Stegostoma tigrinum: one gene and its partners. The protein of the gene in region 1 purifies or fractionates together with the protein of each later gene. This does not show direct contact. Links are inferred from orthologs where the notes say so. Each region holds a gene or a part of one and is shown in the gene's direction. Other genes may lie near its edges. The genes, in order: ctnna1, cadherin-5-like and tes.

Region 1 (10,099 bases):
AAAATTGTGGCTAGGCTGAGATTTTTTTCACTGGAGTGCAGGAGGTTGGGAGGTAACTTTATAAAAGTATATAAAGTCAGAAGGCATATAGATAGGGTTAATGTTAGGTGTCTTATCCCTAAGATGAGGCATTTCAAGATTAGGGGGCACATTTTTAAGGTAAGAAGAGAAAGATTTAAAAAAAGATAGAAGGTGCAACTTTTTTAAGAGGGTGGTTTGCATTGGAACTAACTGCCAGAGGATGCAGTGGATGAGGTGCAGTTACAACATTTAAAAGACATTTGGATAAGTACATGAATAGGAAAGATTTGAAGGGATATGGGCTAAACACAGGCAAGTGGGATTAGTTTGGTTTGGGAACATGGTCAGTGCAGATTAGTTGGAACAAGGGTCTGTTTCCACGCTGTATGACTCTGTGAATTGCCACTAAAGTAATAGCTGCTTTTAACTTATAACTTTGATAATTGGACATGTATTTCTTTGTAGGGAGAAAGCAGATATACTTAACAAGTGAAGCTGCAAGTTTCAAACTTCTTGTTTGTGAATTAAATACTGAATCAATAGTAAAGCTCATCCGTTCAAAGCTGTTAACCAATATGACATTGAATGTTACTTATATAATAAAAATGAATCTTTTTTCTGGGCTTTCATATTTTAGAACCTACTATGAGGACAATATTTACCAGTGTCTTGTAAATGTTATGCCTTGCTATTCTTAGAGCTGACAAGTGCTTTTCAATTATAATTGCACACAGCCTCTTCAAAATTCTCGGATTGCCTGGGAGTTGAGCCAAACAAGGCCAGCAATGTCAGCAGTGACATGCCATCCATTCCTGGCCTTCCACAAAATCTGTTGTGGGCTGCTCCTTCAGTCCAGAAAACTTCTTAATGAAAATGCATAGGGTATTTAAAGGCTGACTTACCAAAGCCACGTCTGAAATGAATTATGCGCTGTGCTGGCATTGTCACCTGTAAGAATGTAAGTATTGAGCAGCATACGTAAACCAGAAAGGAAATTTGCTAGGTAAATAAAGTACAATGATTTCTCATTGATTTTACTAAATACAGGAAGTACACTTCGAGCTTCTAGGGAGTCAACAGCACTAGCAGTGTTCTATTTCACTGTTCATTTTGACCAGTTGCAATCTTGCCTTTTCTTTCACCTTTCATGTAATGCTAATAGCCTTTGCTATTACTTTTCCTGAACAACATTTACAATAAATCCAGGATTCTCAGAAAGTGAGTGAACTCATTCATTCCACTGCATTTAGTTCTGTACTGTGCAGCTAGTATGCCTTGAAACTGGCTCCACGGTAGATCCCAACATTTCATCTGTTTGTTTAAATAAATAAAGTAAATTTACGTAAATTTGTTTGTAGAATAACTTGTAGAAACAAGCAGATATTAATAAATTTTTAAGATGTCCACAGTTCTCTGAGAACCACTTATAATAACCTGTACACTGAACTAGCCATGACCGTTTAATAACGTAGAGTGATGTTAGAAGTAAGACTTGTGGCAGCTAAGTGGAGTCTTCAAAAAAGTTTCTTTTTTTAAAATTCATTTATGAGATGTGGGCTTTCCTGGCTGGCCAGCATTTCTTTCCCATCCCTAGTTGCCCTTGAGAAGGTGGTAGTGAGCTGGCTTCTTGAGCCGCAGCAGTCCACCAGCTGTAGGTCGACCCTCAGCAGGCAATTTGGAAGGGAAATCCAGGGTTTTGACCCAGCAACAGTGAAGGAATGGCGATACATTTCCAACTCAGGATGCAGAGTGGTTTGGAGGTGAGCTTGGAGGCGGTGCTGTTTCTATGTGTCTGCTGCCTTTGTCTTCTAGATGGAAGTGGTCTTGTCATTTCTGTTTTGGATGTGCAGGGGTCTGTGTATGGGGTCCAATTCTATATGTTTGCTGATTGAAGTATGGATGGAGCACCATGCCTCTAGGAATTCCTGTGTGCGTCTATGTTTGGCTTGGGCTACTATGGTTACTTTATCCCAGTTAAACTGATGGCCTTCATTGTCTGAATGTACAATTATTAGAGAGAGCTCTTCGTGTGTTTTGCTGTTAACTGATGCTTATGTGTTCTGATGGCAAGATTCCTTCCTGACCATCCGAGGTAATGTTTGTGGCAGTCGTTGCATGGTATTTTTGTAAACCACGTTCATTTTGTATGTTGTAGGAATGTGGTCTTTAATCCTTGTAAGTGCTTGTCATACAGTGGCTGTGGGCTTGTGGGCCACCATGATTCAGAGTGGTCTTAGGAGTCTTGTTGTCAGTTTCAAAATGTTCTTGATGTAGGGCAGTGTGGTCAGTGTGTTAGGTTGTATGGTGTCTTACTGTTGTTGTCTGTTTTGTTGGCAGCAACCTACAACAGTCCACATCAGGACAAATTGCCTTCATTCTATTTTGTATGATTATCTTAAAGTTAATTATGTTACACTTAGAAAGGAATAAAACCCCCAACACTACCCCACAGTCCTACGGCACATTCTGCTGTAACCGGTGAAGGTGCAACACCTGCCTATTTACCTCCAGTTTCCAAGGGCCCAAACATACCTTCCAGGTGAAGCAACACTTCACCCGCACTTCCCAGATTCTAGTTGACTGCATTCGCTACTCACAATGTGGTCTCCTCTACATTGGGAAAACGAAGCATAGAATTGGTGACCACTTCGCAGAACATCTACGTTCTGATCGCAAAAAAGATCCTGAACTACTTGTTGCCTGCCACTTTGATGCACCACCCTGCTACCTGGCCAACATCTGTGTCTCTGGCTTGCTGCAGTGTTCCAGTGAAGCCCAACACAAGCTGGAGGAACAACACCTTATTTTCTGTTTGGGGACCCTCCAGACTCAATATTGAGTTCAATAATTTTATGGCCTAAACTCTCCCATGTCCCAGCCCATCACCCCACACACCAGGTCTTGTTACCACATAGCCTGTCATTACACACCTGCTATTGTTCGTCACTAACAGTCCCCATTAACAGCTGTTCACCCTCCCAGTTTGATCGTTAGCAACTCCTTTGTCTGTCCAACTATCTTTCTCTCTCTTTGGGCCCTATCATATCATTTACTCCCTACTTTCTGCATATAAACTGCCATTTTCCCAGCCACCATCGGTTCTGAGGAAGTGTCACAGTTAACTCTGTTCTCTCCTTCACAGATGCTACCAGACCTGCTGAGTTTTTCCAGCAACTTTGTTTTTGTTCCTGATTTACAGCATCCACAGTTCTTCTGTTTTTTTTTTAAATTTTGAAGTCTCATCCTTCACAATGGACTCCAAAATCTTACCCACAACCAACATTAGGCAAATCAGCCTATAAATTTCAGTTTTTCACCTTACTCCCCTTTTAAACTGGCTGTCACGTTTGTGATTTTCCAGTCATCTGGGACCCTCCCTGACTCTTGTGATTCCTGAAAGATCACCACAAATGCCTCCACTGTCTCTTCAACTATCACCTTAAGACCTCTGGTGTAGTCCATCTGGTCCAGTTGGTTTATCCGCCTTCAGGTCATTCAGTTTCTTCTAGCACCTTCTCCTTGGTGACGGCCACCATACTCAGCTCTGTCCACTGACACTATTGAATTTTTGGGATATTACTTGTCTTCCACTATGAAGACTGACACAAAGTAATTATTCAGTTCCTCAGATAACAAAGTGTAGAGCTAGATGAACACAGCAGGCCAAGCAGCATCTCAAAAGCACAAAAGCTGACGTTTCGGGCCTAGACCCTTCATCAGAGAGATGAAGGGTCTAGGCCCGAAACATCAGCTTTTGTGTTCCTGAGATGCTACTTGGCCTGCTGTGTTCATCCAGTTCCACACTTTGTTATCTTGGATTCTCTTGTATCTGCAGTTCCCATTATCACTATTCAGTTCCTCAGCCTTGATCCCCACTACTATCTCTCCAGCATCATTTTCAGTGGTTCAATTTCTAATTTTGCCTTTTATAATATCTAAATAAACTCTTACAGTCCTCCTTATATTACTGGCTAGCTTACCCTCATATTTAATCTTCTCCCTCTTCATTTTTTTGTTAATTTTCTGTTGGTCTTTGGTTTTCCATTTCTCTCACCACATGATATGCCTTCGCTTTTGCTTTTATGCTATCCCTGACTTCCCTAGTCAGCCTTTGTTGCCTCACCCACCCTGTTTCTTTTTATTCGGGATGAATTTTTGCTGTATCCTGAATTACTCTTAGAAAATCCTGCCTTGCTGTTCCACTGTCTTTCCTGTTCAACTCCTCTCCCAATCAACTCTGCCCAGCTCTTCCCTCATGCTTCTGCAGTTGCCTTTATTTACCTAGGTCTCAGAGTTTTGAGATCAGTTTGGAGGGGATAATGGTGTTGAAGGCAGAGCTGTAGTCGATGAGCCGGAGTCTAACGTAAGTGTCCTTGTTGTCCAGATGTTCCAGGGATGAGTGCAGGGCTAGGGAGATGGCATCTGTTGTGAACCTGTTATGTCAGGAGGCAAATTGCAGGGAATCATGGCAGGCTGGGGAAACTAGAGTTGATGTGGGCCATGACCAGCCTCTCAAAGCACTTCATGATTACGGAGGTCAGAGCCCCTCGGTGATAGTCATTAATGCTTGCTTTGACCAAGGAATAGTGAAAGAATTGCAAATATATGTCCAAGCACTGATAGCATGAGACTTGGTGGGGAACTTGCAGGGAGTAGGAATCTTGGGGTATGTGCCTAACCTTAGGTGAGTTAGGAGGTCCTGTCAAAATCAGCAGACCAGTTTGCTTCGGCCCCTTTTGGTACATAGAAAGTGCTGGAGAAACTCAGCAAGTTTGGCAGCATCTGTGAAAACAGAAACAACCTTATGAAGACATGGCTCTTTAGAACAGATTTACAACATTCTCAGTACTTTCCTTTTATTTGGTCTTTAAAATGTTTTCTTAGAAATAAAGCAACCTGCCATCAAACATGACTTACATGAAGAAAATGAAACACTTTCACAAGACAAATTGGCGATGGTGATTAATTTATGCGCTGAACTTCCCACCTGCTCTCAAAGACGGCACGAAAGACCGACTTTATAAAGTGTCTAAGAATTACTGTAAAACGTTCATTACATTTTTCCCTCACCCTATGGGTTCACACCTGATATCATGACACAAACAGCTTCTTGTTGCTGCTCCCTCTGGGTGTGGCACTGAGGCCATTTCCAACTTTTGTTACCCTCCCACCGGCATTGGCCAACTCTACATAATTTCCCCTTCAGGTCAGAGCACGGTTCTTTCCAAATTACATTTTTGTTTGTTTAATTTAGTGAGTCTTTATTCTTATTTGGGGACTTTTTTTCCTCTCCGCGCACTTTTCACGTTTGCTTCTGGTGCGGGCCGCGCAGGGGGCGTGTGGCCACTTCCTTGGAAGCGCTTCTCACCCTCCCCCTCCTCTAGGCTGGTTTGGTTTCGGTGACTCACTAGGTTGGGATTCATTCAGGTTTGAAGTATTGTGTCTTTGCCAGAGGGAAAGAAGCAGCCAGAAAATAAAGGAAACAAACGGAATCACGACTTTTTCTTGGAGAAAAACAACTGTTTGGAGAACTGATTGAAAACAGCGATTTAAACCAAGTGAGTAGCGGAAGGAAAATACTTTTGTTAACAAAAACAAATAAACGTAACTTTTAAGAAATAATGGAGTTTCAGTGAAAACTCACGGTTTCAGTTGTTGGTGGTGGCCGTTAGAAAAGTTCCGTTTCGAACTCCGGCGAAGTTTAAATGGCCGCTCGAGCCCGGTGTTGATGCTGGGCTTCACTCTTTCTCAGCCAGGATTTCCGCGGTTGCGGTTAGAGGCACAGATTTGCCTTTTCTTTAAACAAAAAAGTATAATGTGTGTGTACCACACTGTTTTATTTCTCAGTCTTTGCGTTCGTTTGGACTCTTCGCCGCCCATTTTAGGCCTCATCCTCTTCCTGGATTTGTGGACGGGAGAGGGAGAGGGCCCGGCACCGCCCCATGAGCTGTTGTACATATTTCAGGACAGTACGACTCGGTACAGAGTCTGGGTGCACAGTCCCACTCGTTAAGGGTTTTATGTGCTGTTTCCCAAAGTTATTTTTCCTTCCATCCAAATGAGTTCTAAATGTGACTTATTGCTTTTTCCTTTTAAATTATTGTAGATGGGATTTCAGACGCCACCTCAGACTACGTATTCCTTCCCCCAAATGTTAATCTCAGTACGTTGTAATTTTGAAATAATTATAGAATGTCTCAGTAACTGGGCAGCGGGTATGTGAACAATGCTGCGAAAGTATGTTGTGAAGCTTTTAAACGTTGCTTCTTTCTAGTTTTGACAGTAATTTGTTAATACAGCTCCTTTTAACATGATCAAAATATATTAAGATTATTTGTGCGTTAATAAAGCAACATTAGACATCGAGCCATGTGAATACGAAAGGTCAAAACCTTTTGTCGAAGAGAGGATTGTAAGTGGGTATCTTGGGGTAAGTAGCCCTGGTAGCTATATGCACGGCCAGTGATGGGGGAGTGATTAAAATCAAGGATGCTGAACAAGTCGCACTTGGGAGGAGTGTATTTTTGTGGGCAGTTGGGCTGGTGGAGATTAGAGGTGGAATCTGAGGAGAGCATGAAAAAGTTTGAGACTAAGGGTGAAAATTTCAAAATTAAAATATTCTTGACTCTTAGTCAGGCAAAGTCCACGAGGAACAAGGTGATAACTGGGCTTGATCCAAGTAAGGACACATACACCTGAACTTCAAGTGAAGAAACATTTTTGACGTGTAAAACGTGGGAAACTAACCTGGTGTGTGGTGAAGGGTAGAGTTTTGGGGTATGGGGTATGGGTACCTAAAGATGTGGTTGCTAATTGAAGAAAGGTTGATTCAAATTGGGATCGCAGAATTGGAGAAGCACAGGTATCTTATGTTAAGTTGTGTAGAGCCAAAAGAAAATAGAGATGGGGAGGAATAAGGTATGGAGATATCTGACACAATCTCTTGAAAACTGCCAAAGTTTGATTTTGATTTTTATTGTTGTCACGTGTGCTGGAATACAGTGAAAAGCTTTATTTGCAGGCAATACAAGTAGATCCCTACACTGGCCCTAAACCCTACCTCTTCCTCCGTTACAGTGATGACTGTATCGGTGCCGCCTCGTGCTCCCACGAGGAGCTCGTACAGTTCATCCACTTCAACACCTTCCACCCCAACCTCAAGTTCACCTGGACTATCTCTAACACCTCCCTCGCCCTCCTGGACCTCCGTCTCCATCTCAGGCAACCACCTAGAAACTGATATCTATTTCAAAGCCACCGACTCACACAGCTGCCGAGAATACACTTCCTCCCACCCACCTTCCTGCAAAAATGCCATCCCCTATTCCCAGTGATAATGGGAACTGCAGATGCTGGAGAATCCAAGGTAATAAAGTATGAAGCTGGATGAACACAGCAGGCCAAGCAGCATCTCAGGAGCACAAAAGCTGACGTTTCGGGGGTCTAGGCCCGAAACGTCAGCTTTTGTGCTCCTGAGATGCTGCTTGGCCTGCTGTGTTCATCCAGCTTCACATTTTATTATCCCCTATTCCCAATTCTTTTGCCTCTGCCGCGTCTGCTCCCAGGATGAGGCATTCCACTCCCTTGCATCTCAGATGTCCTCGTTTTTCAAGGACTGTACCCCCCCCACCCCCGACAGTGGTCGAGAACGGCCTCAACCGTATTGCCTGCAACTCATCCCTCACACCCCGTCCCCGCAATAACCATCAAAAGAGAATCCCCCTCGTCCTCAGTTACCACTCCACCAACCTCCGGATCCAACGCACTGTCCTGTGACACTTCCACCATCTTCAATCTGATCCCACCACCAAAGACATTTTTCCCTCCCCTCCCTTGTCTGCTCTGTGGAGGGACCACTCTCTCTGTGACTCCCTTGTCCGCTCCATACTCCCTCCAACCCCACAACAGCTGGCACTCTCCCCTGCACCCACAGGAAGTACTACACCTGTCCCCATACCTCCTCCCACACCCCCATCCCAGGCCCCAAGAGGGCCTAAGATAATGAAGTGTGGAGCTGGATGAACACAGCAGGACAAGCAGCATCTCGGGAGCACAAAAGCTGACGTTTCGGGCCTAGACCCTTCATCAGAGAGGCCTGTTCACCTGCACACCTGCCAATGTGGTATACTGCATCTGCTGTCCCTGTTGTACCCCCCTCTACATTGGGAAACCAAGTGGAGGCTTGGTGACTGCTTTGCTGAACACCTACGCTCGGTTTGCAATAAACATCTGCACCTCCCAGTTGTGAACCATCTTGCCCCCTCACATTCCTTAGACAACATGTCCATCCTGGGCCTCCTGCAGTGCCACAACGATGCCATCCGAAGGTTGCAGGAACAGCAACTCATATTCCACTTGGGAACCCTGCAGCCCAATAGTATCAATGTGGATTTCACAAGCTTCAAAATCTCCCCTCCCCCTACTGCATCCCAAAACCAACCCAGTTCATCACCGCCTCCCTAACCTGTTCCTCCTCTCATCTGTCCCCTCCTCCGACCTCAAACCGTACCTCCATTTCCTTCCTACTAACCTCATCCCGCTCCCTTGACTTGTCCGTCCGTCCTCCCCAACTGACCTATCCCCTCCCCACCTACACTCACCCCTACTGGCTCCATCCCCGCCTCTTTAACTTGTCTGTCTCCTCTCCACCTATCTTCTCCTAACCATCTTCGATCCACCTTCCCCCTCTCTCTCCCTATTTATTTCGGAACCCTCTTCCCCCCTCCCCTTTTTCTGATAAAGGATATAGGCCTGAAATGTCAGCTTTTGTGCTCCGAAGATGCTGCTTGGCCTGCTGTGTTCATCCAGCTCTACACTTTGTTATCTCAGATTCTCCTGCATCTGCAGTTCCCATTTTCTCTGATACAGATCATGGGGCACTCAGACAAAATGAAGCATACAGATTACACTGCACAGAAAGTGTGAGAAGCAAGATCAACAGTATTTGAAGTTAGCGTCCATCCTTCAGTCTGCTAACAGCAGTAAAGAAGCGGTTCTTGTAATGTGATGTGATAATGGGAACTGCAGATGCTGGAGAATTCAAGATAATAAAATGTGAGGCTGGATGAACACAGCAGGCCCAGCAGCATCTCAGGAGCACAAAAGCTGACATTTCGGGCCTAGACCCTTCATCAGAGCAGGGTTCTAGGCCCGAAACATCAGCTTTTGTGCTCCTGAGATGCTGCTGGGCCTGCTGTGTTCATCCAGCCTCACGTTTTATTATCTTGGGTTCTTGTAATGTAAAGTCTTAACTATCCATACAACCGTAACTGTGATGTTAATTACAAATCTGTTTAAAATCTGATTGTTTCACTCCTTATTGCGTGTTAAAATGTACTCTTCAGAGTCTTACAAAACCATTTGAATAGAGTTTTCATAAAATTTTCATGGTTTTCCTTGGTTATTTTGATGAATTTCAGGCTTACACGAGCTGGTGTCCAAATTTATTGTTAAAGCTGAATATTCTGAAATGTAATCTTTTCTGTCAAGTCTTCATCTACATTTTCAATTCAGTTCATTGTAGATTAACTTAATAATTTACTTGAATATATTTTTCAGTGGACTGCAGTCATTTCATGAGTCTTTGAGTAGTTGCAGTTTTGTGACTTTTCTTCAGAAATTGACTTATTTTACTGAAGTCACTTTTACCATTTTACAAGAGTTATGTCCATCTGTTCTTTTTGAAATGCAATTGGTGTTAGTGTATCCTAAGAACTGAGTGAACTTTGTAATAGTGTTGTGTCTCCTAATATTTATGCGAGTAAATTAGTTTTGTAAAGTTCCAGTAGATGCTTGAGAAGTTCTGTAGACTCCATTTGCAAATATTATGATTGTACTTGGCTTGGTCATCGCCTTTTTGAACATAAGCTTTGAGAAATAATGATGGAATTATCAATACAACCTCTGCAGTCGAATTCTAAATTTAAGTGATGACGTGGAGGTGCCAGGGTTGGACTGCAGTGGACAAAGTCAGAAGTCACATGGCACCAGGTTATAGACCAACAAGTTTATTTGAAATCTCAAGCTATCAGAGCACATCATCTAGTGTCATGCGACTTCTAAACTTGTGAAAAGTTTG
Region 2 (10,109 bases), on another chromosome or scaffold:
ATGGACAGTGCAGGGTTGGTGAACTATCAGGTTGGAGGCTGTGCCTTGATGATCAGAGGTGGCATCATGATCGAGGGAACAGTAGGAGGAGGAGGTGTCAGAGAGTTGGCATTTGGCCTCAGCAATGTAGGGGTCAGTTTGCTGTACTATCTCTGTGCCCACCCCCTGCCCTTGTGGGTGGTTTCAGTGGTGAGGTTGGGGTTGGAGTGTTGGGAGCAGAGGGCCGTGTTTTCCAATGGTGAGAGGTCGGAGTGAGTGAGAGGCGTGGAGAGGTCCAAGCAATTGATGTCATGGCAGCAGTTGGAGAGGAAGAGGTTCAGGGAGGGTAGGAGGCCGGCAGAGGGTATGTAGGAGGATGGAGCTTGCTGGAGGTGGAAGAAGGTGTCATCAGAGGGTGGGTTGGATTCCTGTTCAAAGAAACAGGCGCGGAGGGAGAGGCAATGGATAAACAGCTCGACATCTATTAGTTATTCACATGTGGGCACAGGGGAATGAAGGTGAGCCGTTTGCAGAGGACTGACCATTCAGCCTCACTGAGCGGGAAGTCTCAGGGAGGGGAATGATGAATACCCAGCAGGGCCCTGGGGACAGGGCTGAGTGTTAAGCTGGGAGCTGGGAGACTGCAGCTGGTGGAGTGGGTGTGTGTACAGGAAGGGTCACATGGGTGGAAGTAGAAATAATGACTTGGTCACTGGCTGTCATGTGGTCAGCAACATTGCCACACACACCAACCAACCCGACCTTCCAGTTGCTATCCACTTTAACATCCCCTCCCCACTACGCTGGTGACATGTCCGTCCCTGGCCTCCTCCACTGTCAGAGTGAAGCCAAACATAAACTGGAGGAGCAACACTTGATATTTCACGTTGGGATCTTACAGCCTTGAGTATTAACTTCACCAGCTTCAAAATCTCTCCTCCCACAACCCTGTACATCTTCTGACTCATGGTCCTGCACTACCCTTCCAGCTGACCACCCACAATAACCCCCTACATGTATCCACCTATCTCTGTCTCACCTGCTTTTGCTCTGTCCCCACCCACCTCCCTCTATCTATTTCTGGTTCCCCTCCCCCTCCCATGTCCTGACAAAGGGTTTTGGCCCAAAACATTGACTTCCCTGCTTCTGGGATGTTACCTGACCTGCTGTGTCTTTCCAGCTCCACATTTATTGATACAGTCTACATTCTTTATCACCTGCTGCTCCTATGTGTTTACTTCCAGCGGGTGGTGCACAGGGACCCAGGTCTCATTTAACATTTGCCTCTTACAATTTACAGCCATTCGAATAATAATCTGCCCTCCTAGTTTAGCTCTCAGAGTGAATAACCTCACATTTATCCACCTGATGGTGCTTCTACAATGCATTTGCCCACTCACTCAGCCTATCAAAATCACACTGCAACATCCCTGCATCCTCATCACAGCTCACCCTCCCAACCAGCTTCGTGTCATCTGCAAACTTGGAGTTTTGCATTTCGCACCCTCATCTGAAACATTAACATATGTTGTGAATAGCCAGATCTCTGGTACTGATCCCTGTGGTACCTCACTAATCACTGCCTGCCACTCAAAAAAGACCTACTTATTCCTATTCTTTGCTTCCTGTCTACTAACCAATTTTCTATCCATCTCATCACACTGCCCCCAATTCCATGAGCTTTAATTTTACACAATAATCTCTCATGTGGGACATTGCCAAAAGCTTTCTGAAAGTCCAAATGAACTACATTCACTGGCTCCCACTGATCAACCCTACTGGTTACATCCTCAAATAGTTCCAGTAGATTTGTCAAGCCTGCTTTCCCTTTTGTGATTCTCTGCTGACTGTGTCTGATTCCACCACTGCTTTCTAAGCGCTCTGCTATAAAACCCTGATAATGTTCTGCAATATCTTCCCCACTACCAATGTCAGGCTCACTTGTCCATAATTCTCTGCACCTCTCTTTTTAAATAGTGTCGTTATGTTAAATAATCTCCAATCAATAGGAACTGTACAAGAGTCAAAAGAATCTTGCCAGATGACAACCAATGTATCCGTTATAGCTCGTGCCATTGGCTTAAGTAGTCTGGGATGTAGATTAAAAGGCACTGGGGACTTATCAGCCCTAAGTCTCATCAATTTCTCCCACACCATTTCTCTACTAATACAGATTTGCTTCAGTCCCTCCCTCTCACCAAACCCTGTGTTCCCCATGATTTCTGGTGCGTTATTCATGTCCTCATTTGTGAAAACAGAAGCATCTCAGAATTAGATCTACAACAAGACATGGAAGGGAGGGATGTACTTAAAATAAATGGACCAATTAGAGACTGAGAAGATTAGGACCTTTTGAAGAAGATTGGGCGTGTGTGGAATTTTTAAGGAAAGGTCCTCAGTGAGTACCATTTGACTGAAGTCTGCGCTTGCTGACATATATCAGCTCCTGATCCAGCAGTTTTAAATTTTCAAACCTGCTTTTGGTCCATATCTATCCCCACCTCCCCACCCTTATCGCTGTGATCTCCCCAGACAGCACCACCCCAAGATATTCCTTTCTCCTCCAATCTTGGCCTCTTGAGCACCACACATTTGTCATCATACCATCAGTGGTATCCATTAACTCGGTCTGGAATTCCATCATTTAACCTCTCCCATTCTCTACTTTTCCTTTTTTAAGATGTTTCTAAATTCCTGCAAGAGGAAGCTCCTTCATCACAAAAGCACATTGCCATTGCTTGCCAAGGGGGCCTCAGGTTTAATGCCCCATGCAAATCCAACAGCGCAGCACTCCCTCCTGGACTGTTCCTGCTCCGATTTCTCACGTTTCTTCACTGATACAGCAAGGTCCGGACCAGATAGCATGCTGAAATCCCTGGGGTGGGAATTATGCCCACAAACTTCTGAGAGAACCCGGGCTGGACAACCCCATTCTGACCCCGGGAGACTGAGATGTTGCACTTGGGACCCCTTCATTCTGTTTGGCTCAAAGTGATCTCATTCAACAAGCTGTTGAGGAGTGCGGTAAAGTTCTCTTTCTTTCAGCTGAATGTAACGATCTCTGTATTTTCATTAAACTCCCGGCTAAGTGGTAGAAGTTCACACTGACATCCTCTCTCTTCAGCTGTCTGTTCCAGGAACTGATCCTGACCTGAGCAGATATGAACTCCTGATTATGCAAGGCGCCCCAGGGGGACATGAACGTCAGTTGCAACATCCATGTTGCTTTTGGAATTATTGCCAATTCACAATTTCAGATTCCTTTCAGCTGAGCCAGCACGAGTGTAACACTACTTCATCAACAGGAGCTCAGTCCTATTGTCCACTCTGTATTTTTAATAACAATTGTGTCACATTGTTGAAATCCATCATCTTAAACAGGCACTCTCTCCATCACTGCAGCTGCTGCTATTTCCCAAGGCTTCCTGCACAGTAAGAACACACATCTTCCATCAGCTACAAAGACAAGGCCAACAATCCCTTGAGAACAGCTCCACCTCCAAGCTTCCTGCTTTATTTTGTGCTTCCAGCTATTACTGCAGCTGGTGCGTATTGAGAATCCAGTCTGAACTATCTCTGGGCTGTAGGTGTATTGACATTGAAGCTGTTTGCTCCAAATCTCTACGTCAAGCTCAAACACATACAGAGAATGCTGGAGAAACTCGCCAGGTTTGGCTGCATATGTGGAGAGAAAGCAGAATTAAAGCTATGACTTTTTCAGAGCCCAGAACTTCCAAAGAGGAGTCATACCAGGCCCAAAACGTTAACTACGTTTCTCTTCCAAGGATGCTGCCAGGGTTCTGAGTTTCTCCAGCCTTCTCTATATTTGTTTCAGATTTCCTGCATCTGCAGCATTTTGTTCACAAAAACTCAGACCTGAACTCCTTATATTGGCTGTACCTTCAGAGCAGTTCATTCACCTGGAAACCAGTACCTAGCAGCGCCTTGACAGCACCTTCTTGGTACAGTGCTATGCATAAGGGGAAAACACACCAGCATCTTCTCAAATACAATAAAGCAATAGGCAAGAAATGGCCCATGTCTCCATGAAGAGTACAAAAATGAACGAAACATTTAGTGGATACAAATTGCTGTGTGCAGTGGTGCATTGAACTGTCCAGGACATGATGAAAAATAAAATAAGGAAGTGAGAAGTAAGAAGGGAAGTCAAGATGGGAGATATGAAAGGATAATGAGGTTATGGACTAAATTATCAGCGAGGGTCATTGAACGAGACTGTTAAAAGGGTTCAAGAGACAATTGTACATGTTTTTGGAACAGGGTGGATAGGACTAGAAATTAGGGTTAATTTATCAAAAAATATCCAGGTTCATTGGGTCAATTTTCCCTTTCGAGATTACACTGTTGCTCATTCTTAAGTCAATACTATTCAACTTTATTTTAACCAGATAATGTCCTCAACAACATTTTTTTTTAATTCATAAAAGAGCTGCTCCTATCTCTGTTTTCATTTCAGATCATTTTGTTTCAAAGCAGAATGCTGTAGGTATCAGGGATTCACTTGGGGACAATTACTGGTTCGAATTTAGGGACATTGCTACAGGTCAAAGGGGTCTAACTGGTGAGGGTGAAGAACGTGCTTCCTTTGAAATTAAGCTTGCTCCCACTTTGTCCACTTCAGTGAGCCCTTTTTCTGTTTAAAAGAGAAACTGAAAATGTATGAAGTAAACCGATGAGAGTGATCATTTATTTGAATTGGATTAAGTACGCCCACTGTGCGACCAGTTCACACTGCAGGCAATTCCCAAAATCCATTACATGTCATACAACGCAATTATTTAATCACCATTTATGTCTCTGAAAAGCAAGTAGCTACTTTGGGATAATTATGTTCAATTTATCTGGTTTCCGACACTCTCAGCCCTCAGCCCTGATATCACAAAAGTGTTGGACAATGTCAGGAAATGACTGAATGGCAAACAGGCTGGGTCCCAGGAGTAGGAACTGAGGAACAATTCGCTCTGGAAGGCTGGGACAACACACTGAACATCACAACCAGACAAGTCAACTCTGCAAGCTAGCATTATAATCTGCGCTATATCCGTGTGTCTCTGAATATTCCTTACTTTTGGATGTAAACAGGACTGCAGGGGACTGGCGTAATTTGAAAAGTGGTGAGTGAATTTGATTCAGTAAGTAATTGGAGGGGCGGTACAGTTATCAACAACTGGAACTGTCAGTGAGTTATGGCAGAGTGACAGTGATTTCAAGTATTTCCACGGCTGAGAATCAAAATTGTACGAGGTAAAAAATGTGGTAGCTGACCTGGAACACTGAAGAAGGAACTTTACTGGTATCTAACCCTGTGCTGTTCCTGTCCTGGGAGCTTTTGATGGGGACAGTGTAGAAAAAGTTTTACTCTGTATCTAGCCCCATTCTGCCTCCTGTCCTAGAGCGTATGTTGGGGAGAGTATAGGGGAAACTTTACTCTGTATCTAATCCTGTGCTGTTCCCTGTCCTGAGACTGTTTGAGGGGGAGAGTATAGAGGGAACTTTACTCTGTATCTAAGCCCATGCTGTTCCTGCCCTGGGAGTGTTTGATGGGGTATCAGCGTAGAGGGAGATTTACCCTGTAGCTAACCCCATGCTGTCCCCTGTCCTCAGAGTTATTGAAGGGGAGAGTGTAGAGGGAACTTTATTCTGTATCTAACCCTGTGCTGTCCCTGGTCTGGGAGTATTTGATTGGGGCCAATGTAGAGGGAGCTTTACTATCTAACCTCATGCTGTCCCCTGTTCCAGAAGTGTTTGATAGATTAGCGAAGAGAGAGTTTTACTCTGTATCTATTCCTGTGCTGTTCCTGTTCTGTGAGTGTTTGATGAGGACAGTGTAGAGGGAACTTTACTCTGTATCTAACCCTGTGCAGTCCCCTGTCCTGAGAGTTTTTGATAGAGGACAGTGTAGAGGGTGATTTACTCTGTATCTAACCCCATGCTGTCCCTGTACTGAGCATGTTCATTAGGACAGTGTTGAGGGAGATTTACTCTGTATTTAACCCCTTGTAGTCCTGGGAAACGGACGAACTATAATCAGATCATTTAGGTAGGTGCTGAGAGCCATGCTCACCACAGAGAGTTGGCATGGTGGCTCAGTGGTTAGCACTGCTGCCTCACCATGCCAGGGACCTGGGTTCAATTCCAACCTCAAGTGATAGTGTGGAGTTTGCACATTCTCCCCACGTCTGTGTGGGATTCCTTCGGGTGCTCCGGTTACTTCCCACAGTCGCAAAGAATTGCAGATTTGATGGACCTGGCATGCTAATTTACCCATTGTTCCCAGGGATGTGTATGCTAGGGGGATTAGCAATGGCAAATGCAGGGCTATTGGGATAGGATCAGGTGGGTCTGGGTGGGATGCTGTTTAGAGGGTCTGTGTGGTCTCAATGGGCTGCATGACCTGCTTCCACAATGTAGGGATTCTGTGGTTCAATGAAAGGACGTCACTTTCCTGACCTTCTTGAGAGGGAGGGTGCACCTTGGGACATCTTACTTTGTTAAATCCCCTAAGAATTGCTTGTGGTTGAAGCTGGTGTTATTCTTTCTGCTTTTCCCATGTCTGAGTGATCTATTGCAAACTACTGTTCAAGTCTGATCCAGTTTGATGCAAGCATGATGTAAAACCTTCAAGTAGCAAAGCCTGATACCCAAGGGGTTTGACTGATTGTAACAAACAGAATCAACACTTCCTCTGGCAGAACACTCGATGTGGAGTCAACAGAAATTCAACAGCGTTTTGCAAAAGAAGCAGGTGTAGCAGCTAATTTTTTAGTCTGTGGATCATTGTGGTCTGGGACGAGCTGCTAAAGATAATATTGGGACCAGATTCCATCATAATCTTCAAGTGAATTAGAATATCTGGGAGTATGTTTATTTATTTATTTCGGCATTCCAGCGGGTTATTTGGATAGAAATGCCGTGCAGGGGTCTAAGGAAAATGCAAGAGGAAAGCACCATGGAATAGAACCGGCACAGGACAATGGACTGAATGGCCTCCTTCAGCACAGTAGCAATTCTATGATTTATGCATGGGATGCAAGCATCCCTGGCTAGGCCAGCATTTGTTTTCCATCCTTTACTATCCTGGAGAAAGTGATGGTGAACCGTTGCATTGAGATATAAGGGCACCCACAGTGATATTAGGAATGGAATGAAGCTCGTTGATCAGAGCAGGCCATTCAGCCCATTATGACCACACTGGTATTGCCAGGGAGCTCTTTATTTTACCTGAATTCACCAGTAGTCCTGAAAGTTCTCTGATTCGCTTGTCTCCATGAGAAGAGTCAAGAATTTTTTTTAATGCGTTGCATCTGTACGTGTACTGCCTAAAATGGTGCCATAAATCCAGCAGTAACATTCAAAATGGATTTGGGCTAATATTTGGAAAGGGAAGAAATCGGTGTCTGTGGGCAAAAGAACACGGAACATTCAGCTCCTCAAAAGAGTAGTAGCGATTTGGCTGAATGGCCTCATTCAGTGCTGGGTGAAGCTATGGTTCTGCCCAGAACAGAGTATCTTTGAAAAAGCGTGAGAGACAAATCCAAACAGAATTGGAGCACTACATGATTAATGCAGGACTATACATTGTATAAGCAGGAATTAAAACAGCATCACATCACAGAAAGAAGCACAGCAGCTGAAACTCTAACTCATTTGCTTTTACATTCGGAAAGTTACGGTGGATTCATAATCTCACAGTCTGGGGACACGTGTTCTTTTGTCTTCAATGTGACCCTACCTTGTGACTTCTAAAAGCTAGCTTAAGGGATTCTGTAGGTGGGAAGCAAGTCAGAACTCGAGAAACAGGAGGGGAGCAATCAATATAAATTGCTGATTAAAACAGGATGCTCGGTGAGCAGACTGCACAGGGAGGTGTAACTGATAAAGTGAGTAACCATCCTGTTTCCCACTCAAGTGGCTTTGTGCTTGAGTCCCAACCCAGGGGCAGAAATATAAACCCCATTAGCCCAGTTGTAGGTGATGGTGGGGAAGTCACAAAACTCCCCAGAGAGCCTGTCTACCTGACACTGGCCTAACTGGATATTTTGTGGGTGAAGTTCAAGATGGCCCACCCTAGTCTAGGCCTCAAGTTGTAAATTATTAGCCACTGAAGGCGATGTCCCTCCCACTCTCTCGATGTTGACACTGAGAGGAGGAATGCAGGGACATGCCAGTCCAAACCATGCTAAGGTGTCACACAGTGAGTGTCTCTCGAGGAAGCCTCTTTTTTTTACACCAGGTTCTCACCGTCCACGTCACCACGTCCCCTCACAGGACAGGTCAGGTCCGGGGCCTGGGTCAGGAGTGCTATAAGAGGGTGCAACTTACCGGGGCTTGGGGCTGTTGGGGGTGGTGGGAGAGGAGTTTCCTTGGAGCCAAGGGGAATGGGACCAGTGGCCCAGGCCAGGACCAGCCAGTGGAAATCAATCCCAACTCCTGTGGCCATTCCTCATATCCCAGCATGCCACATTGGTGGACAGAAAGCAACAAATTAGAACATAGAACATAGAACAATACAGCGCGGAACAGGCCCTTCGGCCCTCGATGTTGCGCCGAACTGTGAACTAATCTAAGCCCATCTCCCTACACTATCTCAATTTGCTTGAAAACTCCATGAGAGAAAGGCCTCTTCTGAATTTCTTCCAAAAGTATTTGACTCTGATTCTGAGGATCTGTTCTTTCATGTTGAATTCTCACAGAAATGTCCACATCTGGCAAATAAAAAGGAAGTGATGGTCTTAGCTTAAGATCTAAACAGTCCATCTTGCTTCAGAGTCCTCTATAATGTAATTTACTATAACTGTATGGGAAATTCTAGGAATCTTGCATTGAATAACTCACCTCCCAAGTCCCCAAACCCTGTTCATCATCTGCAAGGCACAAGTCAGGAGAGTGATGGAATACTACCTGGACAATTGCAGCTCCAACAACACTATCCAAGACAAAGTTTCCCCTCTGATTAGCACTGACACCATCACCTTCAGCATCTACTCTTGCCACCACCAATGTTCAGGAACAGTAGTGTGTATCATCCACAAGGTGCACTGCAGAAATTCACAATTGACATCACCTTCGACCATCTGAACGGACAAGGCCAGCCACTACAAAGGAACACCACTAACACACCAACCAAACACACCGTAATGTCGACCTCTAATGCAATCCTTCCACTGTCGCTGGGTCATAATCCTGGAATATTCTCCCTCATGGGCGTGGGTCTACCCACAGCACATGGACTGCAGCAGTTCAAGAAGGCAGCTCACCCCCCACCTTCTCATTGTATGGATAATTAATGCTGGGCTAGCCAGCAATGCCCACAACTCTGTGAGTATTTCTTTGAAAAACTACAAATGAAGTTTATTGGGAAATTAAATCTTTACTCTGCAGTCAGGGAAAATGCCATTTGTCAGTCAAATCCAGCCTGAATTGCAACCCTACAGCTCAGGCTGTCTAATCATAACCCAGGTTCATACTGCTCCTACTTTGTCGACTCTTGTATAGGACTTTGGTTCGACCACATTTGGAATACTGAGTACAGTTCTGGTCGCCACATTACCAAAAGGATGTGGATGCTTTGGGGAGGGTGCAGAGGAGGTTCACCAGGATGTTGCCTGGTATGGAGTGTGCTAGCGATGAAGAGAGGTTGAATAGATTAGGATTATTTACATTAGAAAGATGGAGGTTGAGGGGGGCCAGACTGAGGTCTACAAAATCATGACGGGTATAGACAGGGTGGATAGCAAGAAGCTTTTTCCCAGAGTGGGGGATTCAATTACTAGGGGTTAAAATTGTATCAGAGATAATGGGAACTGCAGATGCTGGAGAATTCGAGATAATAAAGTGTGGGGCTGGATGAACACAGCAGGCCAAGCAGCATCTCAGGAGCACAAAAGCTGACGTTTCGGGCCTAGACCCTCTGACTGCAGAGTAAAAGTTTAATTTCCCAATATATAAATAATAAGTTTCATTTGTAGTTTTTCAAAAGAAAATTCAGAGTTGTGGGCATTGCTGGCTAGCCCAACATTAATTATCCATATCATGAGAAGGTGCGCGTGAGCTGCCTTCTTGAACTGCTGCAGTCCATGTGCTGTAGATAGACCCACAATGCCCTGAGA
Region 3 (10,572 bases), on another chromosome or scaffold:
AGGCCTTTGGGTTATTCCAGTCGGCCAAGTGTGTATACCTGATGCTTTGATGCCTTTGCTCATGGGTTGTCTTCATTCTGATACCCACCTTGGCAAGGAAGGAATGAGTGGTATCATGCTCTGTACCTGGTGGCACTCCTGACTGGCAGAGGCAGCTCAGTCTTGTATAGCATCATGTTTGACATGCCAGCAAAACAATGTTGGTCAGGGGGTGAGATGCTCACCAGGAAGAATACCCTTGCCAGGTGGTCCGTTTGAATGTATTCAGCTAGATTTTATTGAATTACTGCATGTACATTGCTATAAGTATTGTCTTGTGATTGTTGATGTATTCAGTAGATGGATAGAGTCTTTCCCAACAACAAACAACAAAGCCTCGATGGTGGTAAAACTGTTATTAACTGAAGTAATATCAAGGTTTGGAGTCCCTCGACAAATTAGTTCAGATAATGGCCCCCACTTTGTTGGAAAGATTAATAAGGAATTGTTTGATGCATTACACATCCAACAACAATTCCACTGAGCGTACCACCCCAGGTGGCAGGGATAGTGGAAAGAGCTAACGGAACTCTCAAAGCTAAATTACCTAAGCTAACATCTGAAACCGGCCTTAACTGGTTAAAGGTTTTTCCCCTAGCTCTGTACCACATGAGAATAACACCGCACTCCACTACTGGATTCTTGGGGGCACAGATAATCTATGGCCGACCCAGTAGGACCCCTTGGGATGCCGACACAGACCCAACTGCCCATGTAGGCTTAAATATTATGGAAGAGGAAATGCAAACATATTTTCAGCAGCTAACATCATCTGCAATGTTTCTCCATTCACAGGTAAAGCAGGCCTTCAGACCACCATCACAAGCGATGGACCAGAGCTCAGATGACCAGAATGAACACCCCAGACTGCAAATGGGAAACGTTGAGTTGATCAAAGACTGGGATCACCCCAAGCTCAGATCCAGGTGGAAAGGACCCCCAAATACTCCTTCAGACACCAACAGCAATCAAAGTCCGAGGACAGAGTCGCTGGATCCATCTGAGTGACTGTAAACAATGGGGCCCTCAGATGGCCTAAAGACTACACTCGCACTCTGTGATATCATGGCTGCCTTCATGGTATTAGGCCTGGAGGACAATTTGCTTTATAAGACACATTACCAACTGTATGGTAATCAGTGTGTTATCTGCTAGCACAGTCTGTAGAAGCTTTATTTGTAGCAACCTCAGGATGGAACCCTCACCAACTCTATGAAGTAGATTAGTCTGGTGAGCCTTGCCAAGGGTAGGGAGGAACTTGGACGAGGGGTGTGCAGGGTCGATGTATGGAATTGATTGTTAACAGCTCCTCCAAATGTACAGGTACTAAACCTAAGCCTGGGAAGGAAGGGGCCAACTGTACGGATCCAACCAGCTATCCGCTTTGTTTTAATGGTACTGGATGCTGTTGTTTATATGCCTTAGTAAACGTCACCAACCATCCCCATGATGCTTCCCGGCCTCATCAGTGTGTAAAACGAACTTTACAACTAAAGGAGGGCTATTGAACTGCACCTGTTTGGTATCAAGCCCAGTAAATGTGACTTCAGGTATACAGTGGACTTGTGGGAGTTGTAATGGCGCCCATGTAGAAATGGGGTATGGGATATTTCCGTTTCACTCCTCAGGCTTCCAACCATTTAAGGGTCAATCCTCCTGGAATAGTTACAAGATAGTACGTGAGTCCGTTATCTGCTACCGTGCTTCTCAATGGGACCTTTTCTACTGCTACTCCAACATTACCGGTGCGGTTTGCTGTTGGGACCTTGGGCCTCTTACAGTCCCTTGTCCTCAGTGAGCACGTGCTTGGCGATGAATTGTCACATGCCCCATAAGCAAGGAGTTTTGCACTAAGTGGCAGGATCCAGTAACCCTGGGCTCCCCCTTGGGATATGGTTTCCTAGGAACTGTCACTTTAGGAGTAGCCTCAGGGATGGTGTCCACTAAAAACCAAAACTATGTTATGTGAGGACTCGCCATCCTGGGAAATGGCATGATGTTGGCATTGGAAGCAGTAAATCGAGAATTAGCCGAACTTCGGCCCTATGCTCAGCAAACCCTGTATGCAGTGTACTATCAGCTGGCTCAAAAAGGAGGAGTATGTACGATTATAGGGGATAAATGCATTACCCATGTTACCGATGAATCCTATAATATTACTCAAGCTATGAAGACATACAGGGTCAGTTGGACCAGTACAGAGAAGGACCCCGACCTGGGGAAGGATGGTTGGGATAGCTTCTGGGTAGTTCTTGATGCTTATACCTACTGTATAGATTGGTTGTCTTATTGTCGTAATTATTTGCTGCGTGTTCCAGGTATGCCTGAACCCTTGTTCCAGAATTATGACTGACAGACTAGTAGCTCCCTTCTCAGCCCTGATATAGGTTATCATGGAATGATAAAAGTAGGGAATGAGATGCTAATGGGTTAACATCCCATGAATTTTTATGGTCCTTCTCTCCTCATATAGGGGTATGTGAACACTGTCTCAACTTTCTGCCTGAATAGGATTGGGTGTGAAACATATGTAAACACAAAAAACATTAAGCTATGTAATCTTTGTGACTCTACCCACACTGCTGCCTACCCCTGTTTCTGCTGAAATGGCCAGGTCAGTCACCTTTGATCAAGCCAGGCAGTTGTCACCACATGAAATCGCATCCTGTTGTTATCATACACTGCGTGATGATCAAAGCTGTACCCTGTCCTCAGACGTAGTACTTGTTTTATGTGTCTGGCAATTCCAAGGGTATAAAAGCGGGGACTGTCCCCTGTTTGGGGAGAATCGCTCATGATACTCAGCACTCTGTGCCCGGTTACGTAGAGCAATCCTCTGCAGCTTGTACTTGCTAAATAATAAAGGATTGTGTTTTTGTAAACAGGTCAGTGTCTTGCTCTTGCATCAAGTCCACGAGGGTCTCTGAAAAATGAACCTAACCCTTTCACAGAGGACCAAAATATATAATAGGTTTGGTTGAAGCTAAGAAATCGCAAAGGGGGAAAGAGACAGTCATTGGCTGGCATAGTTCATAGATTACCTAACAGTCCCAATATTTAAGAAATTATAAATCAAGAAACAATGGAAGTTCGTAATAAATGTATTGCAATAATTGGGGGATATTTTAATCTCATTTAGATTAGGCAAATCAAACTGGTAAAGGTAACCTGGAAGACAAATTCATTTCCTATATTATGGGTAGTTTCTCGAAACAGTGCACTCTTGAACCAATCAAGAAACAGACTATTTTAGACCTGGCGATGGCAGGAACTGCAGATGCTGGAGTCAGGGATAATAGTGTGGAGCTAGAGGAACACAGCAGGCCAAGCAGCATCAGAGGAGCAGGAAAGTTGCTGTTTCAGGTTGAGACCCTTTTTCAGAGACCCAAAATGTCAACTTTCCTGCTCCTCTGATGCGGCCTGGCCTGCAGAGTTCTTCCAGCTCCACATTTTAGACCTGCTAGTGTGTAATGAGACATAATTAATAAATCACATCAAAATAAAGGTACCTGTAGGTAAGAGTGACCATAACAAAATAGAATTTTATTTTCTGGTTCTGCAACTGGTGTCACAAATTTACTTGAAAGCAACTATAAGGATATGAAGACAGAGTTGAAAACATTAGAGTAAGCAAATAAGTTTAAAGATAAAACAGTAGAGAAGCATTGGCAGACATTTTAGGTATATTCTCTCAATAAAACTCTCAATAAAAATATATTCCATTGAGAAAGAAATTCTTTGAAAAGAATACACCCTCTGTGATGATATAAGCAAGTTGAGGTTGGTATTAAATTGAAAGAAAAGTTTTACCACGCTACAAGGATTACTGGTAGGCCAGAAAATTGGATAAATGCTAAAAACCAGAACAGAATGAGTTAAAAAAGAGAGTCATTGAAGTATATAAGCAAACTAGCAAGAAATATTAAAAACTAAAACCATAGCAACAGTGACCATTTATTTTGAAGGGGGTGAGATTGGGGAATTAATAACAGGAAGCAAGGAAATGGCAGAGACTTGATTCAAGTATTTCTTATCCATCATCATAGTAGAAGACACAAGAAGTGATCCTAGAATCATATAAAAGAGTGGGCAAAATGGGCAGAGGAACCAAAAACAAAGACACTCAGGAAACAAAAAAGTGCTAGAAAAACAATGAAACTAAAAGCTGTCAAGGTCCTAGACAACAAAATGTGAGGCTGGATGAAGGGTCTAGGCCCGAGGCGTCGGCTTTTGTGCTCCTGAGATGCTGCTTGGCCTGCTGTGTTCATCCAGCCTCACATTTTGTTGTCTTGGAATCTCCAGCATCTGCAGTTCCCATTATCTCTGTCAAGGTCCTGTTGGCTAGACTCTTTGGATACAAATGACATATCTGCAAAGATAGTGGATAGTGATCAAGGAAGTTTCACTGTATAAATCCTGTTCAAACAGGACAGTCATACAAAAAGAGAGACTTAAAATCCTGTCTTAAAATTGTACCTACACAGCCTTAGGATATTCCAAAGTGCTTCATGCACAATGAGATATTCTTGAAGTTTAGAACTCATGAGGCAGGTTTTAATCTATTATTGGTTTTATTTGAGAAATAAATGTGTAACTCTGCAATACCAACCCATCTAGTCAAACCTCTAGACTGGATCTTCTGTCCCAAGCCTCTGACTCAGAGTTGGGAGTATTACCAGTGAGATAAGGTTGAAAGGTTAATGTAGAATTGGTACGAACAGACTTCACATCAGCAAAAAAAATGGAATCAAGTTCCTTTAAACTAATTTCTTTCACTTGAAGTCACACACAAGAACTTAAACTTCTGCAGAACTGAAGGACTGAAGTTAACTTTTGAAAGGCAGGTACTGTTATATTGAAAAAATTGCACATTCTCCCACAAACAGCAATAAAGTAATAACTGAAAAATCTTTGTTTCTATAGTTAGTTGAGTGATAAATATTGGCTGAACACATGAGAGAATGTTTCTGCTTTCTGCTATAAAGTGAAGTGATATTATTTAAACTTTACCTTTGTAGTTCTTCTCATATATTTGATATACACAGCTTTGAATGTTTACCTTTAATTTTTGAAACCGCCCTAGAAATTTTGCAATGGTTGTTCATTATTTCCACATTAAGTAGTTACTGATACTATTTCACCATTTTCAGAAAGCATGGCCAGCATTAATCAGGGAATTTTTGCCGAGAAAGGAACTTTGCACTGAAGTGTAAAACTTCATTCAACATTCAACTTTGCAGTTAACTCCATGTAACCTAATCAAATCATGAAAATCGGGTACGAATAGAATCCACATTAAGTTTAATTTGTAGTAATATAACAACCTGACAAATCAGCTTTGAAAGCTAATCTCTCCTAGAAACAATGTTACATTTACGGTACTAGGAACTACTATTCCACACGGAAAATAATGCAACATTTTGGCTAATTCTTTAAGATTTCATTGTAAAATTTTAAAAGTAATGGGAACTTAAAAAGTATAACTACCTAGTCATTCTATGTTACCATCAATGAATAAAAATAATTGAAAGACTGCTGCCTGTAATTACATCACAAAAGGACTAACACGTTCTCTAATGTTCTTTGGTTACTTTATAATCTATTAATAACCTTTGAAAGTTGAAAGGCCTCACAAGAGGCAAGAAAAAAAACTAAACCGCATTTTTAAAACTGCAAGACTTTTACATATTGACTAAAAACTTTACATTGTCATTTTTGGACTTCCATGCACTGGGTTAACTTTTCTATTTTAGTAATTCAATAATCAAGCTTTCTGATTTGATTTTTAAAAGGACAATAATACTCTTCATGGCAAACTTATTTTCAAAGTAGTTTAAGTAGGATTACAGAAAATAATCAACAAATGTTTGTGACTATCGCAGCAGAAATACAGAAAACTACACAGCTCCAAGAAAGTTGTAAATTTGTACTGTTCTCTGAATAAGTAAAGCTATTGTTTTATATCTGCTGCAAAAATGTTGACACTGTTACCATTTTAGGACTATGTATTCAGTACAGTGGTTCTGTTCTGTGGTAATGTGCCCAACCACCATTAGAGATTTTAATTTTGTGCATTTTTCTCAGTAAGAAGACTTCAAGCTTCTGCTGACTATTCTAAGTATAACCCAAATAGCAATAGGAAAACTGATTTCTTACCAGTTTTATATTTTGTGATTCTATAAACTCCACAATAGCAAGTGTTTTACTTTTCTCTTTCATTTTAATTTCCTTCTTTTCTCAGGGCTTCGACGTGTGCAGAAATTTGAGCAAGTATTCAACTCACATAAACAAGTGAACTCTGACTCGTTGGACTTTAACACTAGCCTGACATACATGTATTAAGAGCAACTTTTTTCAGTGCAGGTTGTTCAGCTCTTTGATGTTATGTCAAACTGTACAATTGTTAATGTTTACTAGCTTGCAAGAAAATATTTCAACAGAAGTTAAACAGCAAAGTGAAAAATCAATAAAGCAGTGTTTCACTGTCTGATATTTAGAAGAAATATTCTCAGTTGGACATTAGAGATTTTACTTTTCAGATTTTGCCATGGATAACAGCAAGTTGCCTCTTTCCTTCTGGACATATTCATTTCAAGCTGCATTTAATAAGGTAGGTACCATTGGTAACTATGCCTGTAAAAATCAATGCTTGGAATAATTTACCAACATTGTGCAAATTTGAACACTTGAAGAGGATTGCAAAGAACTCACACATCAGCTAAAAAAAACTATCTTGACGACTATGGCTCTTGAATAGACAAATTTTACCGATATTTTATTGCATGTGATTATTCTAAGATCAGCTCATTTGCTGTGTCATTCATCGCAACTGATGAAATAATAATGGTTTCATGATTTTTGGAATTATATTTTACTTTATATTTTATTGAACAATTTAAAACCACCAATTTGTTACGATTTGAAAAACATGATGGTAAACATTGGAATTTATTGTACTCACTTCTCAGGCAGAAAATGGATCAAGGTCAGATTTGGAAAGTAAAACGTGCTACAATTTTAATGTATCATTTTATATTTTTCCAAATATAGCAATCATTTTAAAAGAGAGGAAAGTTGTTTTGGAAAAATGCAGTGAATGCTGCACATGACAAACCAATTTAAAGGGAATTGCTTATAATTCATTAAAAGGCCTGGATCGAAGTCCTACCTGCATTAACATCTCTGAACAGATTGTTTTAAAAAGATCTACAATGCATTAATTAGATGAGAACCATGAACAAGCATGCTCTCATATGTACATCTGCCCCCTTTACACAGTGCAATTGCTGCCATAGTTACAGGTTTCATTCACGCAATATACCTACAGCCTCAGGAATTGAAGGACAGAATGTGAGGACGGAGAGCTCTTGTAGTCCAACAAAAGAGGCCTCAAAAGAGCAATTCCAGTGGGGAAGGCTGGCCCAGATACTGGCATCAGGGAAGGAATCAGCAAAGATGGGCACTGGCATGACATCACATCCAGATGACAAGAACAAATTATGTCCATATGTCAGAGGGGCAAAGTCTGAGATATCTAAGAGTCCCCTTAGAAATGGTCATGGAAATATGTTGGCTTGGTCATCAAGAAGTGTAGCCATTTGGATTTGGTTGGAACCCCATGCCAGTGACCCTCAAAGTTATAGAAATGCTCAATTTCTATGCTAGCAGTGGCTTTCAGGGAGCAATGGGAAATACTTTTGACATCTCAAAGGCTGCCACACATTGGTACACAGAGAAGCTGATTGATGTCCCATGTAGTTGTCCCAATAGTTTTATCAGCCACATCGCAGAAGACAATAGCCAAACTCTGAGACAGCTAATATCAGCTATCAATAACTGCACTCATGAGGCCAATAAACATTCCTTGGGAACATCCAGGTGAATTTGTAACTTATAAAAGTTTAATAACACAAATACACAAATAGTATAAAGCCACAGGAGAAGGGTATTGCAAGCCATGCTCATTTCCCAGGTTACTATAATTGTGCACAACTCAGATTCAAGGGATTTTGAAGCCTCAGATGGATGGATCTTCAATGACAAGGCTTATTCCATGTGTACATGGATGAAGAGACCAGACAGCCTTCACCAGAGGGAAGCAGAGGAGTGCAACAATTCAGCTCATTTTTCCATCTGTACACCATTTAATTTCTTAAAGTACATAACTACTGCCTTGACTAGTCTAGATGGGCTCTGCAGAATATACATCTGAAGGTGTTACTAATAGTAGTGGTCTGCTGTGCATTACACAACCTGGCATTGCAATATAGTCAGAGATATTGCAAGGAGCAGGGCATGAGGAACATTTGTATTTCTTACAGGCAAAACCAGAAATTACTGGGGATACTCAGCAGGTCTGCCAGCATCCATGGAGTTAATGTTTTGGGTCTAGTAACTTTTCTCAATCTCCGACCTGCTGGATTTCTCCAGGAATTTTTGTTTTTGTTTCAGATTTCCAGTATCTGCAATTCTTTGTTTTGTACAAGGCCTCCTCAGATGACAATGATATGACAAAGTATAAGGAGGTTATAAATGTAATTGAGCCTGTAATAAATGCTGGCACCATGGAGAAATGCATAAAGGGTGCCATGACAACATAATCTACACTTAGTTTGTCCAATAATAAATACATCTGCATGATTGTTGCACCATTGGTAGAACTCCACCCCCATCCTGGAAGTAAGCTGAGCCCTGCCATCCTCCCCATTAAATTAACTTGAAATCTGCATCATCTATCACTGAGAATAGAATGAGGACTTTGGCTTTGTCACACAGTCATACTTCCTGATTGCTGGTAGCAAGGACATCTTTGGGCTGTATGGACATCTACAACACATCTATATTCCCAAGTTATTTTAACCAAATATCATCTTACAAGTACAATTCAAATGTACCTGTCTCAGTTTCACCCATTGAGAGAGAACCAGGCCAATATTCTCACATTGAGAAAAAGCAAAAGTTCTGTTTTGATAATGATGTTGAAATGATGTTGCTATCAAAATCCTAGTCTTTGAAGCACACAAAGAATCACAGTGATTTTAGTCTTCTCCTAGACAATATTGCAATAATATAGTACCAGTGATGTAGTTCTGGAATATTTAAACCAAATAAACCTATTGCAAAATACAAACATAGTTCAGGCCTACCCACTAAACAATAAACTGAAGAACAATATGAGAATTGTTCCTTCAGCTTGTGTGATTCCTTGAATTAATTTCTCCACAGCCGTTAAAGAACTATTATGGAGAATGGTAAGAATAAACATTTCCAGCCATTTTAAATTATACAGAAGAAGGGTCAAAACATTCAGAATAGACGTAATGCTGGGTCATTACTGCTTCCCAATTTCTTCTCCAGTTGCCCACAAGCTGTTGGGTTTTAAAGAAACTTCTCTTTCCTCTAACAGTACTTACTGTGTTTGGTATGAGAGAAGATGGTTCCATACAGCTGACAGAATCTTCATTGAAGCAGCTTGATTCCAAACTGATTATATCATCGATAACATCATCCATCTAAAAACAATGTGTTGTGCAGATGAAAATAATATTCAGTGAAGTGCCCTCAAATTCTTTATCATATAGTGTGAGCGAAATCATTCAAGATAGGAAAACACAGACAAGACACGCATGTTGGCATATCTGTTACATACTATACATGTAACTGATTTTCACTCAAAAGCATAGTTTTGAGAAAAAGTAGTGATACACAGCTCTGCTAGCACCTGTCCATCCAGGAGGTTTCATTTTCGGGTATTAGCTAAAACAATTATATGATCAATCTGTTTCAATTTTTGTATTTATGAATAAAAACCAAAAGAACTTCAGATGCTGTAAATCAGGGACACAAACAAAATTGCTGGAAAAGCTCAGCAGGTCTGGCAGCATCTGTGAAGAAAAAAAATCAGAGTTAACGTTTTGCATCCGGTAACCCTTCCTCAGAACTAAGTTTCTTCACAGATGCTGCCAGACTTGCTGCGCTTTTCCAGCAACTTTGTTTTTGCTCCTGTGTTTGTATTTGTGACTTTGCTGTAACCAAAATCAATGGAAAATTTCAAAACTGAACTGTTCTATGGTCATGGAGGCACTGCCATTTTAAAACTTGTGGGCTTCAGTTTCTATCTTACTATCAACTAACTTTGTAGAGATGCTAAAATAAAAGCAAACTACTGCGGATGATGATGACTTGACATAAAATCAGAAGGTGCTGAAGCGTGGAGTTTCTCTAGCAATTTCTGGGTTTGTTTGTACAAACACTATAAGATGATCAGCCTATCATAGCCCATGTCTGGCACAGCTGTCTTGCATACGCTATACATTATCAACCAGTTGCAAGTTAGCTGTCAAACTGGTGCACCTAGCTCTGATGTTGCAGCTTGCTAATTGAAGAGCTGGCATTCTTCTTTCTGATAGATTGCATTGTTTGTTTTCCTGGAGCAATGAACTCTCTCCACTTGTTCATCACAGACTTTTGCCTCCAAACATTCATTAAGGCAGATGAACTGTGGCAGATCAGCAACTTACCAATCTTGAGATT

Evidence for each region.
Region 2: the proteins of ctnna1 (region 1) and cadherin-5-like purify together in Homo sapiens (affinity purification with western blotting; 4 studies listed by BioGRID and IntAct, counting the BioPlex papers as one, with this or other methods). This does not show direct contact. The link is inferred for Stegostoma tigrinum from reciprocal best matches to the Homo sapiens genes CTNNA1 and CDH5.
Region 3: the proteins of ctnna1 (region 1) and tes purify together in Homo sapiens (affinity purification with mass spectrometry; 3 studies listed by BioGRID and IntAct, with this or other methods). This does not show direct contact. The link is inferred for Stegostoma tigrinum from reciprocal best matches to the Homo sapiens genes CTNNA1 and TES.

Annotation. Positions count from the first base shown.
Region 1 is NC_081366.1:57,467,081-57,477,179, forward strand, and holds the start of ctnna1 (catenin alpha-1), read left to right. Parts: upstream 1-5,251; 5' UTR 5,252-5,579; intron 5,580-10,099. UniProt on the Homo sapiens protein: Associates with the cytoplasmic domain of a variety of cadherins. The association of catenins to cadherins produces a complex which is linked to the actin filament network, and which seems to be of primary importance for cadherins cell-adhesion properties.
Region 2 is NC_081369.1:63,175,647-63,185,755, forward strand, and holds the start of cadherin-5-like, read left to right. Parts: upstream 1-4,950; 5' UTR 4,951-5,114; intron 5,115-10,109. UniProt on the Homo sapiens protein: Cadherins are calcium-dependent cell adhesion proteins. They preferentially interact with themselves in a homophilic manner in connecting cells; cadherins may thus contribute to the sorting of heterogeneous cell types.
Region 3 is NC_081371.1:33,793,403-33,803,974, forward strand, and holds the start of tes (testin), read left to right. Parts: upstream 1-6,495; 5' UTR 6,496-6,586; coding exon 6,587-6,649; intron 6,650-9,452; coding exon of another isoform or gene 9,453-9,551; intron 9,552-10,572. Other genes in the region: transcription factor EC, read right to left, coding at 9,453-9,551. UniProt on the Homo sapiens protein: Scaffold protein that may play a role in cell adhesion, cell spreading and in the reorganization of the actin cytoskeleton. Plays a role in the regulation of cell proliferation. May act as a tumor suppressor. Inhibits tumor cell growth.